3 linked regions of the Oreochromis niloticus genome follow. The protein of the gene in region 1 interacts with the protein of each later gene in a biochemical or structural test. Links are inferred from orthologs where the notes say so. Each region holds a gene or a part of one and is shown on either strand. Other genes may lie near its edges. The genes, in order: ran, ipo11 and nutf2.

Evidence for each region.
Region 2: the proteins of ran (region 1) and ipo11 form a complex in vitro, tested with the Homo sapiens proteins (2 studies listed by BioGRID). The link is inferred for Oreochromis niloticus from reciprocal best matches to the Homo sapiens genes RAN and IPO11.
Region 3: the proteins of ran (region 1) and nutf2 form a complex in vitro, tested with the Homo sapiens proteins (3 studies listed by BioGRID, with this or other methods). The link is inferred for Oreochromis niloticus from reciprocal best matches to the Homo sapiens genes RAN and NUTF2.

What each region holds. Positions count from the first base shown.
Region 1 is NC_031966.2:22,420,095-22,423,847, forward strand, and holds ran (GTP-binding nuclear protein Ran), read right to left. Parts: upstream 2,833-3,753; 5' UTR 2,679-2,832; intron 1,789-2,678; 5' UTR 1,764-1,788; coding exon 1,731-1,763; intron 1,588-1,730; coding exon 1,503-1,587; intron 1,276-1,502; coding exon 1,150-1,275; intron 1,044-1,149; coding exon 856-1,043; intron 762-855; coding exon 591-761; intron 474-590; coding exon 429-473; 3' UTR 88-428; downstream 1-87. UniProt on the Homo sapiens protein: GTPase involved in nucleocytoplasmic transport, participating both to the import and the export from the nucleus of proteins and RNAs. Switches between a cytoplasmic GDP- and a nuclear GTP-bound state by nucleotide exchange and GTP hydrolysis.
Region 2 is NC_031977.2:22,985,770-22,989,522, reverse strand, and holds the start of ipo11 (importin-11), read right to left. Parts: upstream 2,823-3,753; 5' UTR 2,678-2,822; intron 1-2,677. UniProt on the Homo sapiens protein: Functions in nuclear protein import as nuclear transport receptor. Serves as receptor for nuclear localization signals (NLS) in cargo substrates.
Region 3 is NC_031972.2:6,987,408-6,991,160, reverse strand, and holds the start of nutf2 (nuclear transport factor 2), read right to left. Parts: upstream 2,401-3,753; 5' UTR 2,265-2,400; intron 2,171-2,264; exon of another isoform or gene 2,043-2,170; intron 1,144-2,042; 5' UTR 1,121-1,143; coding exon 1,022-1,120; intron 1-1,021. UniProt on the Homo sapiens protein: Mediates the import of GDP-bound RAN from the cytoplasm into the nucleus which is essential for the function of RAN in cargo receptor-mediated nucleocytoplasmic transport.

The sequences.
Region 1 (3,753 bases):
ATACTAGAGCCACTTTTTAAACTACGAGGCGCTCCCTGTGACCTGAAGTCGTTGGCGTGCAGGCAAATCACAACACAAACGGCCGTGTTATATCGAGAATGTTTTTATTCAAAGTTTACTCCCCTTAGTGCTTCCAGTACACCGTACAACAGCATTATGTGAGCTGGGTAAGTGCAATGGAGGGTGCTCGACGATGAAGAGTAGCACGTTGCCATGCCAACAACAACACTAGGGTGGGTGTGTGTCATACAGTGAAATTAGAACCACAACTTTTCCACCAAGTTTTTTTCTTTTTTACTTAAGTTTTAAAACAAAAAAAATTCAAAAATAAAAAAATCTGAAAAGGGATTTTACAGTAAGGGGGCAAAACTCCAACGACTTCCTGTCCACAGGTGGGGGAGGAGGGAGGGACAAATCTAGGTAACAGGTTAGAGGTCATCTTCTTCATCTGGGAGTGCTGTTTGTGATGCAACCTGGATATGGAAGAACAAAGTCAAGTCTCAGATTGTTCCACATTTAGAAGATGCTCAAGTAAAATTTACAATAAATTCATCTAAATCACACAAATGAGTCTGTACAGTGATACTCACTTGAAGCTCTTCCTCATACTTAGCAGCAAGGGATGGGTCCATCTGGACCTCTGGGGGAGCAAGGGCAGGCATTGCCACAAACTCCAGGTTGGGATCACCGATCAACTTCCTTGCTAACCACAGGAAAGGCTTCTCAAAGTTGTAGTTACTCTTGGCAGAAATGTCGTAGTACTGCAGATAGAAAAATTTGCAGCAGTTAGAAATGACAAAACTCAAAAGTTGTTTCTGCAATTCAAAAATACACATTTTTGCAAGCAGTTATTACCTGCAGGTTCTTCTTGCGGTGAAACACAATGCTCTTGGCTTTGACTTTCCTGTCTTTGATGTCCACCTTGTTGCCACAAAGAACAATGGGAATGTTCTCACAGACACGGACCAGGTCACGATGCCAGTTGGGCACGTTCTTATAGGTGACTCGAGAAGTGACGTCGAACATGATGATAGCACACTGAGCTGTTGAGGAAGCAAGAAAGCATTAACGTATTGTTCAGCTAAAGCCAAGGTACATGAATTTTAAAAACGTGAAACTCGAGCAGCATGCGAAGGATGCGAGGAGCACCTTGAATGTAGTAGCCATCTCTCAGGCCTCCAAACTTCTCCTGACCGGCTGTGTCCCACACATTATACTTGATTGCTCCTCTGTTGGTGTGGAAAATCAGTGGGTGCACCTCTACTCCAAGAGTAGCTGAAATTTCAAGCAAAGACATAATGAATAAGGAGAAGGAAGGTGTAAACAGTGATGAAGACAGTCATATTTTATCTGAGGAAGGGGCATGCAGGACATGTTGCTCCCTATAGTTCCATTTAACACATTTGGCATCATACATCCTCCTTTCAAATCTATCACCGCATCTTTAACTCATTGAGACCAGAAGAATGAGCTGATTTCCTTCCTGGGAAGCGAGTACTCACCAACATATTTCTTCTCAAACTCTCCTGTGATATGCCTCTTCACAAAAGTCGTTTTCCCGGTGCCTCCATCTCCTACCAAAACCAACTGCGATGCAGAGCGTACAGTTAGTCTAGACTGGTTGGTACTGGTTCACCACATTGACCGTTGTTAGCACAGACAGCGGTGCTTCATTTAGTTAAAAGGCTGAGAAATGGAACATCAATTTATCTTAGACTGCAAGCACTTACCTTAAACACCGCCACCGGAACACACTGTGCCATTGAGTCCGCCGTGGTTGCGACTTTTCTGTTAAATAAAACGAGGCGGGACGGTTGATTAGCACGTTGTCCGTCAACACTAACTAGCAGTGCTAGCAACTCCTTTAAATGGCATTTCAAGAAGACAAAATATGACATAAGCTATGATTTGTTGAGATGTTATTTTGGTGTTTTGAGCGGTTTTCTACGATTTTGTCGTTTAGCTAAACTCCATAGCTTGTTACATAGCCATAACTTCTAGCATTTTCCATCCAAGCTAACGTTCACACATGTAACGAGTAAACGTGTAACGGTGCACCTATGTTGTGAAAAAAGGTTTAATTCATTTTGTGTGTTTAATGTATATTTGCATTCAATGGAAAATTACGAAAGCGCGCTTCTAAATGCGCATTTCAACACCAACGGCTGCTAGCTAGGAAAGCTAAAAACGTTAGATTGAGTGCGCCACACGACGGGCGAGCGCACTTTTTCTTGTTCGACTGAAACAATCCGACTGGAAGCCCATCTAATGTGTTCCACGCTACACTTCAAGTCAAACCCAGCCTAAATAGTACCCTACACATGAATGTAACTCCACGCATCCACAATATATTTTGTCAAAAATACTGACTATGTATTTACAGGAATACGCGCGAGTCCCAAGAACAAAGCAGAAAAAAAATGAGGGATAGCCGTGCATGCTAACCTGTTAGCTAGCACAGCATGGAAGCCATTCTTTTTATCGAGCTAACAGCTAGTTAGCCGCATAAGAAAAACCACCGGCCTTCCCCGGTTGCCCCATTCCTCACGTGGATACAGCTACAAAATCGCAAGACAAAGATTTAAAGCTGCCCATTGTTTTAACTGACTTTTCTCCCCAAAGAATGCAAACTTGAAATATATGATAGCCCGCATTGTGAGAGGAATTCAGAGACTCACCGGTAACACTTCGAAGAGAGGAAAGAGTAAATGGCTGCGTTCGCGGGAGATTCAGCGTGGACTATGAGTCAGTTTCCGCCCTTATCATGTGACCCTCGCAGCGGCAAAAACGCATCATGAAGCAACACGGTCCTAACTGAACGTGATTCAGCATTCAGTCTTTATTTAAACACACTTATCCAACCCTAAAGGACATTCACATGCAGCTAGAAAAGCATAATTTCCCACTACAGACAAGCAGCTAAGGCTGGGCAGCTGTGTATGGTTACGAGCTGTTTATTTCTGAGGTAACTTGTTAAAAAACACAGGATAGCAGCAACGTCCTCGTTTCCTTGAACAACTTTTGGATGCACATGTGGCAGACAAAAGAGCCCAATACCCAAAATGTTTAGTGTTATCCTACTAACAGCCAAAGATGCTTCGTAGGTCAGACCAAGTAATATTGGTACACTTTTTACCACACAAAAGTCAGTGAATGAAAAGTTATTTTCTTTCTTTGTGTACTACAACAACAATAATAATATCTATAACTACCATCTGTTTACCACAGCTGGCTTCAAAAACACAAGTGCGTTTTAATTTTGACACAGGTGAAAGTCAGTTGAAACACCAATTCAGTGAAAATGCAAAATCCTTAAAAAAAAAGTCAATAAAAACATTTCATTTTAATTAATCATTTTCATTTATTAAGCAACTCAAAAAAGCAGATAATCCAGTAAACACTGAACAACCATATTTAATTATATTTATTTTGTTTCTATTGACTAAAAATTTAAAAGTAATTTATTTGCATCACAACTGCAAACAGCAATAGTTACAATGGAGGCTACAACCGTATAACAACAGCCTAATAAACCATTAAAAACACAGTCATTAACTCACTTAATGTAAGGGTTTTGGTCCAACAAGAGTCAAGTTTTTGATATAATATAATAAACAGAAAAGCACAAAACACATCTTCTCAGTTTCAAAGGTTTTTTCCCCTTTCCAATTCAGTTAATTCAATTTGCAACAGGTCTGTCAATATCTTTAAAACAAACATTTCAAATAATATACTCTTATATTGCAAGCTTTG
Region 2 (3,753 bases), on another chromosome or scaffold:
GACAGGCTCTGTCCCCAAACTCCTCCTCCCCATGCAAGACCAATACTGCTGAGGTTAGATCAAAAAGTAAATAAAGATGTTCCGCTCTCTGCAGTGAAACTTAACAACAAAACAATAAAATTATACTGAAATACAAAAAGGTTACATCCGTTGGACTTGGGATTACCAAGGCAGCCCACACATAGTACCTAAGGTATACACCAAGTTTACCTTAGGTACTATCACTTAATGAAAAACCTAAAAACCATGTCGAGCACTGCTGAGCTGACCTGAGTAGGTACTAATGGAAGGGCTTTAAGTGAGCATGTAGTGGCAAATGAAATAAGCCTTTGGATGAACAATGACGGCATTGTGATTTTGCCAGGCAGTTCCTATTAAATACCATCTATTAAAAATGTTTATTTAGGTAATATATGCTTTAATATAATAACTTATTTTCCTATTGTTAGTGATGTTATAGCACAAATTTCTGGTGAGGTGGAATACATTATTAAAGCATTACTGAAAGAAATTCTGATAACACAGAATCTGCATATTGACTCCAATCAGCAGCATTATGAGTTTGAGTCGTGCTCATCTTTTACTGTAATGTAATAAAATATCATCCATTTAGAAAACTCACCTGTGTGAGCTTCCTGGTTTGCTAGGACATTGTCTACTGATATAATCTCACTGTCATAGACAGCTGTTTTATACAAAGAAGGTTTACAGAGCAACATTTTAAACTATTTTGAAGTGATTTAAATATGGTTTCAGTGGCAATTTCCGGAGTGGAAACTGAATCTCAAGATTGTTTCAGGATTATCTAGCTTACTCTTGGTGGGTATTTTAGTTAAAGAAATCATTGAAATGGTGATAGTCAGTAGACCACTGTAATATACCAAACCTCTTTTTCATGACACATGATTTAACTTTTACCAGAAAAAAAAAACACCAAAAACACAAAGCACTTAGACAGTTTTTTGCTTTCCCTACAGTGACATGCAGTATGAGAATGTGCTCTGTTCTGATCACATACTGGGTTTTTTTTTTTTTGTTTTTTTTTACCACTGTAAGATTCACAACCTTAAACTTGTTCATCCACAACATCCACAATCCAAATCTGCATACCAGTATTTCACCACTACAGGAAAACCTTTACCCGAAAGGCAAGGATTTAAACATGGGCTGTTTAATTTCTTGGAATTTGAAAACAGCAGTTTCATCTGTAACCTAAGTTAAATTGTTATGCTGTCAGTTGGGGCTGTTTGATATATAACATGATATAAAAATGACATTAAAATGTCATATCGTGATATAATTGCTATTTACACTCCTTGGTGAGTGTAATGAGACAAAACTGAGGCAAGTCTGACTGCAGGAGCAAGACCAATGTATCAACCTCAAATTACTATTTAGTACCTAGGTAGCTACTTCAATAACCTTCAATAACCTCCAACAAAGCACAAAAGAGGGAAAGAAAGCTGTTCCCACTGAAGATAGAATAAACAAACTTGTTTTGCCACTTGAGACAAAAACAGGCCACTGAGTACAACCAAGCTACAAAGGAAGATATACTAGCACCTAATGATGTGTGACTCAAACAAATTACTCCAATTACCACTGTTGTAGCCCTCACTAGTTTACATGAAGAGGAAAAGATCGACGTAAAATTGCACAGTGGAAAAGCAAGGGGTTTCGCATTCTGTTAAAAAGCTCAACACAGGAGAGATCATCCCACGCAGAAAATATTTTCTAGTTTTATTATCTGACGATGCTCTGCAGTTTCTGAAGCGTTACAAGGTTAAGATACTTTATTTATTGTTAAGCTAAAAGTGTTACTTTTCTTCTTACATTTGACTTATGCTGTGTCACTGGATTTAAAGCTGCTGGCACCTTCTTTCAGTAATCACTCTAATCACTACAACAGCTAATTGGGAAAGGATAGAAAATACTCCTTAATTTACATACACTAAATGCTAGTACCTGAATATCGTGATATAATTTGGGGGTTATATCACCCACGCGTAAATTGCCAACACATGAGGCTAATCCAGCGGTAGGCAGCTAAATATTGTTTTGCACTTGCCGTAGCTTCTGTCGCTAACACTAGCTTGCTGTCAAATGTTGGCTCGGTTGACAAGAAAGCTAGGGTGGTAACTGCAGGGGCTAGCGGTACATTTACTGATTTACCTCTAACTAAAGCTACGGTAACACACGCCTGGACATTTTACACTATATATAGCTAAATGTGTCTACAGGCCTTTAGTCAAAGCATGGATTTGTTATGATTATACAAACGCAGTCGCTAACAAGTCTACGCAGTGGGTTAGTTTGTTTCTGAAGCACAGAAGGAACCAAAACAAGCTCAGTGCCGTGGGGTAATAGTGGGGCAGAAATTTTAAACTAATGCGATTCACATTTGACTTTTACTACTGCTGTAGGATTCGCAAATATAGTCCAACTTGCTGTAGTCTTGCCCCAGTGCGTGTCATGTATAATCAAAATACCACTCACTCACTAAAGAACCGGGTGGGCAGAGTTCATAATCGTGCATATACCCCAAAACACCAAAGCTAACTTTGGGCTGGCTAGCTAGCAAGCTTGAACTTATTCTATCCAAACCAACGTCCGTCAGTAGTATTTGTCCTGGCAACCAATTAAATATTTCTACAAAGATATATGAAACTGGACTCACCTAAAAGAAAAGCAGTAGAAAACAGAATCTGTGCTTGTAACAGTGGCTGCTAAAGCGCTGCCAGTGGTAATGTAATGAGAGCTGGAAACACACGCTTGTAGGAATGGCGCGGGGAGAACAGCAGGCGCGTGTTGATGACGTAGGATCAGCGGCAGGCTGCTTTCATCATGAGTAAAGAGAGCCAATCGCTGTTTAGTATACTGACACCAAAAAATCTGGCTGCTGAATTTTTGTATTTTGTTTGTTTGTTTGTTTTCGTAGGAAGGATTTTAAAGTTAATTCCGTCCTGAACTGGGAACCAGTGAAGTTACTTCAGTACTGGGGTAATATGTTCAAATTTCAATGCACCTGTAAGGACTCTGGCCACTGTATTCTGAACAAGCTGAAGTAATCCTACTGATGATTTGGCAAACAGATCATTACAGTAGTCTAGCCTGCTTGATATGAATGCATAGACCATTTTTCAAAGTCAGTCTCAGAAATATATTTTCTAACTTTTCATACACTTGTTAAGTGGTAGAAAGCTGTTCTGGTGACGTTATTAGTATAATTATCCAAACTGAGATCACGTTCCAAAATAATGCCAAGGTTCCTGACTTGCTCACTGTGTTCAGAGAGAAGAAGATAAACATGGACAAAATTCTGTATCTGACATTTTTGGTGTAATCACAAATTTTTCTGTCTTGTCTCTGTTCAGTTCTGAAAAGTTTCTATACATCCATCAGTTAATATTATCAGTGCAGCTTATTAAACTGTGAACAGTAGTTAGATGATTAAAGAAAATAAAAAGCGCAACTTTGTATCATCTGCATAAGAATAGTAGGACATATTATTATTCTTTTTGATAGTGCCAAGCACATACTAAAGGACATTTTAGTGTCTTGTTTAATATATCTAATCTATTTAGACTTGCATAGAGACCATGCAATATTCAGATATACAGTTTCATGATTACTTAAATTCCTGATTTCCTTTAATTATCTTTTTTTTTCAGTTCAGTACATTAGTTTTAGTACGTTTCCGGGTGGGCTTTCTCATTTCAGTTCAGTTTTTGTTTAGTTGCTTGTTTGTTTGTT
Region 3 (3,753 bases), on another chromosome or scaffold:
GCATATTAACCAAAAAAAAAAAAAAAAGTGAACTAAACGAAACATGCTACTACGTAGACAGGAGTGAGTTTGGGTAAAAATCAACACAAAAACTAAGGACTTTTTAGAAAACACTATTCTTTTCATTCACCATGTTTTCTGACTCAGTCTTGTCGCATTGTTTAGAACTAAATGACAGCAAAACTGAGGCTATTTTATTCAGCCCTCCCAGCCCCACAAACATCTTCACTGAGTTACTTGCTCATTTATCCAGATATGTCGACACTGTCATTAAAAATCTTGGTGCTTTTATTTCCTTAACTTTTAACAATCAAATCAGGAATTTTGTCAAAAGCCGCTTGACAACATTCACCAACTGAGAACCATCACCAAATGAAAACTAGTTTTGTATCCAAAGAACTAAAGAGTTATCAATGCCTTTATCACCTCTCAGCTGGACTACAGCAATTCCCTGTGTGTAGGATTGCCCAATTGCACTTTCTTTCATTTACAAATGGTTCAAAGCACAGCCGCTCAACTCGTACGAGTAAGCAAAGCTGTTTTAGCTAAGCTGCGCTGGCAACCTGCAAAGTTTTGAATATATTTAAACATTATTTGTTTTAAAGCCCTCTATGGATTAGCTCAACAAATATATTACAGATCTTTTAACTCCACATCACATCACTGAGGTCATCATCACAATAACTTCTCTTGGTGTCCTTTTCTCACATAAAATCTAAAAATGACCAAGACTTTGCAAATATTGCCCCTAGGCTCTCGAACTGTCTGCCACTTCTATATTTTATTTTTTTTAACTGTTGTCTGACATATTTCTCAGTTATAAATTTTAATATGCTGCCTGTCTGTTATGCAAGCTATGTGTTTGTAAAACACTTTAAAATGTGCCATATACATAAAGTGACCTGAGTGGACAATACCTAAATCCTAAATCATAAGGATTACAAACTCGAAATTAAGGAAAGTGAGCTTATTACAGCAAGTGTTTACTCATAAACACCTACATAAGACAAGTCCAACTCACATATATAGATCCCAGTTGTGATCTGTCAGAGTCAAACATCTGATAGTAGTGCTGCACAAAGCTGGATCCTATCTGCTCCCACAAAGGCTGGTCCACCATCCTGAATCACCCTGCAACTCACACTGAGCGTGTGGGAGAGAGCGAGTCAGACAAACGTAATGAGATAAGAAAAAGGGCAATGCATAGAAAAAACAACAACAACAACAGCACCACCACCACCACCACCACCAGCAGCCTCCCACTTATATCAAAACTAATTTATAGTCACCAGATGTCAACATAAGCTTCAGATTTCTGAAAACCCTCTTGGACAGCCCTCACTACCATAATTCAAGACAGTATTCTGGGATGATGTTGTTTTATAGAATCAAGCTCTTAAAGCAGCGAACAGTACAATAGACTGTACAGTACACATTGCTTTGATTTTTGTTAAAATTTTTTAAAAGAAAAATATGTTTTTAACTAAAGACCACAAAAAAATAGCATATAGATCCTGTTTCATTGACAAAAATAAAGGTTAAAATTACTTATACTGAATGAGCCAAAGTATATTTTGCTGCAACGGATCCCTCCGCTCGGGTGACACTGACAGCCCAAGTCATGTGCTCCCACATAACGATACACGGCTGTTACTGGAACAATCCGAGCGCTCTGCACATTAGCAGTAGACTGCGAGCAACATACCCCGAATTGCGACCACACATAAGTAGTTCAGGGCCCCGTAAATATAGTCAGAAGTAAAGGGAGATTGAGGAAACATGAGCAAGTAACGTTAATGTACGAAAAAGCTCATTTTTAACTACTTAACTCTAGCTAACTAGCTGCTGCTAGCTTGTGTCATGTTTGCTAATGTTGACTCAGCCTGTGCTAGCACAGACAGTTCATATACGTAGCATGTCTCCTCGCCAGCCAATGTTAGGCGTCAGATAAATTATATTTCCAGGCGTTAGCTGATCGGCCAGCTGGTAGTAGCCTGTTCACCAGTTACTAAAAATACCCCGTCTGCTTTGAGTGTTCATACCTCTTGCGGGCCCGCGCGCACAGCTCTGGAACCCCGAAGCAGCTACTCTACATAGGCGTGTCCGTCGTTAGCCCCAAACCGGCCAATAGCAACCGATTTAATAACTTATACCGCGTCAGGCTTGTTCAAATGTCAGATTAAACTAGCGCTTTTTGTTTTCGAACATGTTTCCATTCACTATTTTGTAAGGGGGCACCATAAAAACTAGTAATAAAAACTTACCTCTTACGCCGAGGCCGGCTGCACGATCGCACAGTGCAATGTCTGCTCCGCTACGAGGGTACGTACAAAAAGCCGTAAAAGGCCCGATGCATTATGGGGATTGTAGTATATACTCAAAACACGCTCAATTTGCTCGTCTGTCACATTTGACATAATACTGCCACATTCTGATACATACTATATAAAGATATGTCTATTTAAAAGTGTGTCATTTCCAAATCACACGTTTTGATGATTTCTGAAGTGAAAAAACAATAAAAACCCATGGAGTAACAGACAATAAAAATGGTAAGTCAAAAATGGTTTTATTTTATTTGATGTACAAAGATTAAATGTGCTACAGTCACCACTGTCCAGCAAGAACACTTACATTACATTAGCTTTTAAAATGACATCAATTTGCAGCACAAAACAGATTTAGTAATTTGTAACTTGTGCCTTTATTGTTCTCTTAGGTTAGGTTGCTGAGTCCACCAGACTGAGAAAAAACGCATAAGCAAAGCTTTTTACCCAAACACGATTTATTTCTGCAGTCAGCAGCAGTAAAGGCCACCGCAAATAGATCCACAAACCAACACACCCTGGTTTGTTAAAAACATCAGATCTACATTGCACAAATTAGGTTTCGATAATTAAATAAAATATACTAATTTGTTTGAGTTTTATTCAATATTAGGGGTTACTGTCAGTTGCCAGTTCTTGGATTCCTTATATTTGTACAGTCAATCAAAAGGCATTTAAATGCACACTTGATGAATACCACTGACACAGAAATAAATAAATCTATTCTCTTACTATTTTAGTTAGTTTCTATAGTTAGCAACTATCTATCTATTTACTGAATTATTTTTACAAATGAAGTGCAGCTCATATGGGTTGTGAACCTTCTCAGAATAAATCCTTGAGATTATATAATAACCCTGTTAATATCAGGGCATTGGGGAATCTTTTATTGAGCCCTAGGTTGCAAAGCATTTTTTAACAGTCAAAGATTGGAAGACATTTTCAAACATGCTATCAGCATTTGAAATATAAAACTGGCAGAGAAAGGTGCTTATCTGGGGTGGACATATTACCATTAGCAGCACATTAACTTATCTGTTTCTGCAGAGCATGGACTACAACGTCACTGAGCCTCACCGCTTTCCTTGTTTTGGTCCTGAAAGAAATTAATTTTACTACATGTGTTGCTATCTACTCTCAAGCTACAAGTAACACATGTTTAAATACTAAAATTCTCCCATTAATAGGCTACACAAAACTGCCTGATTACATCAACGCCAAGGTGCTGAGGACCTGTGCTAGCCAGCTGCCCATGATCCTGAGTCACATTTACAGCCAACGTTTGAAACAGGAGATGATATCAGTATTAGGGAAAACATCCTGTCTAGTTCCTGTACCAAAAACCTCAACACTATTAAGAATTTAAAGCCTATTGACCACTTGCCATTACATCATATTTAATGAAGATTGTCGAGAGATAAGTACT